Linked DNA regions of Schizosaccharomyces pombe. The gene in region 1 interacts genetically with each later gene. Each region holds a gene or a part of one and is shown in the gene's direction. Other genes may lie near its edges.

Region 1 (4,295 bases):
CAAAAGATACTAACAGTGTCTTAAACCCCTGTATACCGAGCAACGCAGTGATAGAATTTTCTTCTATCTATCTCCATTATTTTGCAACACATATTAGCAAAAGAGTAAGTTATTTAAAGCTTCATATTACTAAACCTCTAGTCGAAGAAGCCAGGTAAAAGACTTGAAGATGAGGTCGTAAACCAACAGCAAGCAATGTTACGAAACCTTCCATTACTATTACAGAAATACAGAGAATCTTGTGTTTCATCATACTTTTTTATAAAATGCGTAGAGCAAATTCCTGACGAGCTTCTTTATAAGAGAGAATTTCATAAGGACTTTTCAAAGTTGTATAAAGAAATACTGGATATATTTAATTCAACTACCGTTAACTTCCTGATGATTTTGTGCAGCAGATTCTTCCACCGATTGGCGGTCAACAAAGTTGTACAGGAAGATATATTATTTGCCATTGACAATGTATATAATGATTTAGCAGAAAGTTTACACGAGCAACTCAATGCATACATTCAAAGAAAAAAAATAAACAAAAAAAATCAGTTGAATGGCAATGAGTAAGGATTTTTCTTTTTGTTATTAGATTGCTAACTTTACAAGTGAAACGCAAAACTTGGTTTTAGCTTTAAATAAGTTTGGATGCTTTGCAAAGGAAATGGTCTGTCTGCGAGACGTCAATGATTGGAACATTAAACTGTCAGAAAAATTATGCGAAATTTGTAGTCTTGAAGTCGGTCCTATCGTCTGTTATTCTTCTTTGAAAGTTTTATTTCTTCTTCTGCTTTCTGATATGAGAGATAGAAACTGTATTTTTACAAATATATTTTTAAAAGCAGCTAAGGTTGCGAAGCAAAAAAATGGAAACTCCTTTTTAAGCAAAGTTTTCGTAAGTCTCTAATGTTGCTGTCTATCTATCTTTTATGACTGTTGATTTCAATCACATTTAGTGGAGTAAAATGCTAACTATAAGCAGATTACAATTACGATGCTTACATTGTTTCTTGGATCAAAGGCAAATAATTGGGATATAAATTTTAGTGACGATGACTTGAAATTGATGAATGAAGAAGAAATCATGGAACAAATTGAAACTTTTAAAGCATGGTCAATGAAATTTAAAGAGAAATCATCTGGAAACCCTTCTTACTTTTTTTCACCCGAAGATACTGAGGAGAAGGAATTATGGAATAATCTGTTTGAGGATTGGTATCCCAATCGTGCTAGAGATCCTGGAACACTGAGTCATTTAGTGAAAGGTTTAAAAGAAACAGCTGACCATTTATCATAAAACGAAATTTTAACACTAATTAAACCCCGAGGGAAAAGAGATAAGAAAGCACATGTGCTAACTTTCTTATTGAGGCAAGGAAACTTATTAAACAAAAGGAAAAGACATTAAACTCTATTATGTATTTCCTATATGATTATTCCAACGAAACTAACTCAAAAATACCTCAATTTCAAATACTCAATTTTAATTAAACCCTGAAGAGTGGGAGCTCGTGTGCTCGCTAAAACTACAATGCATGCCATTTCTTTCTTTCCAGCCCTTTGTCTATATATGAGTTTTCTTAGGACTTACTGGTTAATCAAAAGGTACGCCTTATGTTACTAAGCAATAGAAAATGTTTTTGAGGGATGCATAAATTAAGTTTAAAAAAACAAGACATTAAGATGTTTAACATATCAATTAATTTTATTTGATTTCAATAAAATTGATAATTATTTGACACTTTAAAATAATTTGGTGGTGCTACAAGTTATGTAGGCAATAGTTGATCGTAGGCAAGTTGGATTCAACCAACACCTTTTTGTGCAAGGTATTGTAAAAAAGGGTTGACTTCATCTCATTAAGTTAGTTTGAGTCAAAGAATATATTTGAGGAAAGACTCGGCTTCAATATCAATTTTTTTTTCGATAAAAAAGTGTACTGGCTAAGAATTGAATTACTTGACAGAATACCGAAATGTCGACTTCTTTTGCTTGCACGACTTGTACTGTGGCTTTCAATAATGCAGAATCACAGAAAATACATTGGAAGTCTGACTGGCATCATTATAATCTGAAGAGAAAGGTTGCTAGCTTGCCGCCGTTGAGTGCTGAGGTGTTTGCTGGAAAGATTTTGTCCATTCAAAAGCAGAACGAGGAAGTCCAGAAAAAAGCAGAATTTTATCAAAACTGTGAAGTATGTAATAAAAAGTTTTATTCAGAAGGCGCCTATTCATCACATATGGCTTCGAAGAAGCATCGCGATAACTTGAGCAAATTTCAAAGAAACAGCCGTATTAAGAAACTTCAAAGTGAAGATGCAAGTAGTATTGCTTCTTCAACCTTGTCAATGGGTGAACCTGTAGTTGATAGCGAAATTGAGGAAGAAGAAGATTTAGCTTCACAACTGACATCAAGGGCGATATCCCTTTCCAACTTATCTCTTCATGGTCGAGAAAGTGAACCCTCTAAAACTGAATTGGCTACTTCCATACCTCAATCGAACGAAGCTTCCAAGTCTCATCTATTTACACAAGAACCAACTCCTGAAGAAATTGAAGCTGAACTTGCTCGTCGAAGTAGTCAACGTCTTTCACCAAGAGATTGCCTGTTTTGCGCAGCCTCTTTTTCTTCATTTGATACATGCAAGAAGCATATGAAGGCTTCTCATAGCTTGTACATTCCTGAGCGGGAATATTTGGTAGATGAACCAAGTCTATTCGATTATTTAGCAGAGAAAATTTCTATCGGCTTTACTTGCCTTACCTGCAATCGTGAATTTAAATCACTAGAAGCTGTTCGTGCCCATATGCAGCAAAAGGGGCATACCTCTATTGCCTATGATACAGAAGATGAACAGCTTGAACTCTCTGATTTTTATGATTTTACTACATCGTATCCTGACTATGCAGTAAAGCAAGACGAAACTGTCGTAGAAGAAGATGGAAGCTCTGGTGAAGGAGACTGGGAAGATGTTTCTGATGATTCAGATAACTCCAGCTTAGATAGTCTTGAAATGGGTCGTGTACCCATTGCTGACGAATATGAACTTCATTTACCCTCTGGTAATCGTGTGGGCCATCGTTCGTTATCTCGCTACTTCCGCCAAAATCTTCACTCTAGTTCTACCGCTGTAGGAGATGGTGCTTCTATTCATCAGAACGTCGCCAGACGTGCGATGAGTGGTAATGCCCGAGCTTATAGACAAGCTGTTGAAACAAGTATAGCTGGTGTTCGCGATGGCCGTAAGAATTATAGTGCCTCTCATATCAAATCATTCCAAGACCAAAGAAGAAGAGAGGAATTTGCTAACAAGATGGGTATTAAGAATAACACAAAAAAGCATTTCCGCGATGCGCTTCTTCAATAGTCTATTTATTGTACGAGGCCTTTTGTTTCTTTCATTATATACTTCATACTCCACATTCTTTCGTCTCATATTTCTCCTTACTTCCGGTGTTCTTTATTTTGGGGTTTTCTGGGTTTTTTTAACTTATTTACGCTATTTGGAAAAAAAAAACGTCCTAATATGGTTCTTCTTTTGAGAAATGGTTAAATTTTAGCTCGTTGTTTGTAAATTTATAATATTCTTTTACTAAAACTTGTTGTGTCCTATCTGTCGTACAATGCTTATTTTCTCATAAAAAATCATAGATTTCAACTATTCTAGTTTCTTGAATTATCTATACATTCCAATGTTTATATCTGAAAAGATTGAATAAATGCACTAGGTACGCCTTTTTCCTATGCGTCTATATTTGTAATATTAAACAAAGGCAATGTAACAAAGCAAAGAAGGAATCAATAAGGAAAATGCTCGATTCAAGCAATTTCCGTCTCCTTAAAAAATGACATGTAGTAATAAAAGAGCGACAAAATGATATTTCGTACACATAATTTTCAAATACACTCTCAAAAAAATTTGAGAAATGAATGTAAGTACTAAATAAAGGCTCCAAAATTTTACCTTACTCTTGATTTTGGTTTTCTTGAAGTCTCTCGAAAATCAGATCTTTAGCCTTGACAACGCCAGCTCGACTTCCTTGGACTACTACAATTTCATCGCCTGGAGTACGAGGAACATCAATTTTAACTTGGGCGATCTTTCGGATCTTATTAATAATAGAGCCACCAGAACCGATTATACGACGGTGCAAGTTCGTTGGGATACCCAAGTAAGCAATACAATTTTCCATAACTTGCTTGATAGATTTTTCCAATGAAGCGATAGCCTTTTCAACATTTTCCTTATGTCCTCGAACAGCCCACTCAGATGAAGAAGAACCAGTGTAGTCGTGAGTTACCAG
Region 2 (3,545 bases), on another chromosome or scaffold:
ACCAACTTATAATGGATTACTTTGTTGTCGTTGAATATCTGAATAGTAATTTTTTTCTAATACGTACATAATTTTTTGAAAGACTCATTCCTCGTATTTCCTCAGTAAATGTCACTTTTTTGGTGTACATGTAGATCGACCAAAGTAACCTGTTGCGGGCGACTTTTGTAACTTGTTATTTCTACTTTAAATCTTTTTCTTTTATGATGTTAGGGCGTTGGTAGGGGTTGTAACGTAAAAGGAAACAATTTTTGATATTTTCTCTACGGCATGTGAAAAGTATTACCCAACATGCCACGGAATTCTACGCTGTTTCAGTAATAAAATTTTATTATTATTATTATTATTATTTTTTTTTTGAAAAGATGTAATAAAATGCTTATATTTATAGATTACAAAGAGACAGTAATAACGTTACTCAGCTAACTAAAAAAGTGCAAACTAAACAGCGAATATGGCAAAAAACAGTCATATTTAAAAAAAAAATAATAATTTGAGAGGGAAAAATGGAATAATTTATTTAAAAACAAAAGATACCATAAAATCAATTAATCTACACATAAAATTTACAACTAGGATGTTATTTTGATAAAGTTTGTTGTAAATTTTTTGGTACTTCTACTCATCCGCTATTAGCTTGAAAAACAAAAGTAATTACTACCGCTTTATGGCCAACTAGTTTCATAGGGAGGATGACTGCATACAAAAACGCTGAAACCCTTTCAAATGAGTCTATAAGACAGCAGTGGAAAACGAGTATTTCAGTTTTTAGGTACATTGCAGTGTTATAAATAATATGTGTTTCTTTTCAGATTTTTTTTACTAGTCAGTTATTGTTATACCAATCAATTCCTGGTATGTTTATATTAAACAACAAACAGGACACGAGGAGTCCTTGAAGTATTACTACATTTCCAGTTCAACGATCTTGTTTCAAGGTAAACAATGTTAAACATTACTGCATAACAAAAATCTAATGACAATTGAAGCAGCGTATATAAAGCGATGCATAAAGCCCTTGTTAGGAAAGGCTCTACTTGCGGCTTCTTAATTAGTATTGATAAAATCTATTTCCATGGACATGCAAATATCTCGCAAGATGGATACATCGATCATTCTTCGGCGACTTGGATACCTCAGTCCCCACAAAATAAGATAAAGAATATTGGGTGTCGGTAGTCAGTATCCTAATCCATCAAAAAATTACGGACATTGCAGACGCTGATCGGTAACATACCAAGAAATTATCTGGTAGAACGCTTATATCCATATTTCCGATGCAATCGGTTCACGCCTGTTACCATTGATCGCTAAAAAATGTATGCAACTTTCCATAAAGGTAGTAAAGACATGACTTATACGCCGGATATATGATGAGCAATTTCATTTAGTAATTCTTTATTGTTTTGTACGTTTTAAAAGTATGACGAAGCATCTCAAAAGTATGAATTGTCGGATAATTGCAGCATGTAAATAAATAGGAGGATTCTTTTATTAAAGTCGACTTTAGGAGAGAAACAGTTTTTGTGCTTTCCCTCCAAGCATAACAATTTGACGTTAGGTTTAGCAGGTCGTTTAGATAAAGAAAGACATCCGCCTCTTTGTAAATCGCTTCAACATCAATTGTAAGTTGCTTACATCTTCTACGCGCCTCCACTGTATACTTATCGGGATCAATCAAATGGTTTCGGACATTTACTTCCTAAAGTAGTGTATGCTACGCTTCGTTATATTACATCTTGGTAAGCATGAAAATGTATATAAGGCGAGTGTTGTTTGCTATTCGATTAATTTCTTCCATCATCACAGTCACATTTTGTGTGTTGACATAAAAACTTGGTCAGGTTCTGAGTTTCGAAAGGTTCATTTTTTTGATTTTTAGGTGTTTTCTTTAAAGGATCCTTGTATCTCATTTGTCTAAAGGCAAAGACCATTATATCTATAGAAAAATCATTGTTGCATTTTCGTTTTACCACTTTATACATCCTATTGTTTGCTTGGAAAAAGTAAATTTTAATTAATCGCATCTACTTAATCATGTCTGCCGAAATTAAGGGATCTACTCAAGTCAAGGCTGGTCTTGCTCAAATGCTCAAGGGTGGCGTTATCATGGATGTCGTGAATGCAGAGCAAGCTCGTATTGCTGAAGCTGCTGGTGCTTGCGCTGTCATGGCATTGGAGCGTGTTCCTGCCGATATTCGTGCTCAGGGCGGTGTTGCTCGTATGTCCGATCCCTCTATGATCAAGGAAATTCAAGCTGCTGTCTCAATTCCTGTCATGGCTAAGGTTCGTATTGGACACTTCGTCGAGGCTCAAATTTTGGAAAGCATTGGTGTTGACTATATTGATGAGTCTGAAGTTTTAACGCCTGCTGATGATATCAACCATATCGAGAAATCCAAGTTCACTGTTCCATTTGTTTGTGGCAGCCGTAACTTGGGTGAAGCTCTGCGCCGTATTTCCGAGGGTGCTGCCATGATTCGTACCAAGGGTGAGGCCGGTACTGGTGATGTTGTGGAGGCTGTCCGCCACACTCGCCAAATGCAAGGTGAACTTCGTCGTGTGAAGTCTATGTCTCCCGATGAGTTGTACACCTATGCCAAGGAGATTGCCGCCCCCATTGATTTGGTTAAGGAGTGTGCTCAATTAGGCCGTTTGCCTGTTGTCAACTTTGCTGCTGGTGGTGTTGCCACTCCTGCTGATGCTGCTCTCATGATGCAACTTGGCTGTGATGGTGTTTTTGTAGGATCTGGCATCTTCTTGTCTGGTGACCCGGCCAAGCGTGCTCGTGCCATTGTTCGTGCCGTTACTCACTATAACGATCCTAAGATTTTAGCTGAAGTTAGTGAGAACTTGGGCGCCGCCATGGTTGGTCGCAGCGTTAGCTCTTTGGAGGAGAAGGAAAAATTGGCTACTCGCGGGTGGTAAATATTAGAGAAGGATTTATATTCTCCGTAATGCAGATGTCATTTAATGTTTAATTTTATCTGTTGATATTATTTTTACTCACTAAATAAAAAGTTTTTTTTTGTTTCATTTTGATTTAATCTCCTAGTAACTTTGAATTCATCATTGTATTAAGTGTTAGCTTAGTCTGGAATTTATGACTAAAGTCGTAAATGTTTGTAAGTCAGGTCAGATTCAAAACGATGTTTGATTCAGTGCGTTATAATTTCTTTGTGTTTTAGCAAATGAAGTCTTTTTAAATGTCAATGAGTCGTCTATCTTTTCTGGTGATTATTACCACTCGATCTTGATGTGCGCCATCCTGTTCAATATTCGCTTGCCAGTTGGTATCATCAAATAATGATTTCACTATTTTAGCTTGATGAGTGCTACCGATTTCAAAAACTATTAAGGATAAAGGTACAAAATCCTTGGCGTTTCTTTGTAACATCCTTTTTATGTACTGACTAAATTTGTAATAAAACTCATTACCTCCGTTTTTAGCTAAAAGAGCCAGCTTGGGCTCGTATTTGCGCACAGAAATGTCGGTTTGTGCAGCAAAATCATCATCAGATATATAAGGAGGATTGCATAGCAAC

Evidence for each region. A genetic interaction does not mean that the proteins touch.
Region 2: mutations in rei1 (region 1) and snz1 together harm fitness more than expected from each alone (negative genetic interaction), as found in Schizosaccharomyces pombe (one large-scale study listed by BioGRID).

What each region holds. Positions count from the first base shown.
Region 1 is NC_003421.2:1,220,679-1,224,973, reverse strand, and holds rei1 (ribosome biogenesis protein), read left to right. Parts: upstream 1-1,792; 5' UTR 1,793-1,966; coding exon 1,967-3,358; 3' UTR 3,359-3,735; downstream 3,736-4,295. Other genes in the region: meiotic cohesin complex STAG protein Rec11, read left to right, coding at 1-104, 142-557, 601-886, 974-1,288; vgl1 (vigilin), read right to left, coding at 3,957-4,295.
Region 2 is NC_003424.3:5,413,149-5,416,693, forward strand, and holds snz1 (pyridoxal 5'-phosphate synthase (glutamine hydrolyzing)), read left to right. Parts: upstream 1-1,789; 5' UTR 1,790-2,037; coding exon 2,038-2,928; 3' UTR 2,929-3,045; downstream 3,046-3,545. Other genes in the region: mtq1 (S-adenosylmethionine-dependent methyltransferase), read right to left, coding at 3,203-3,545.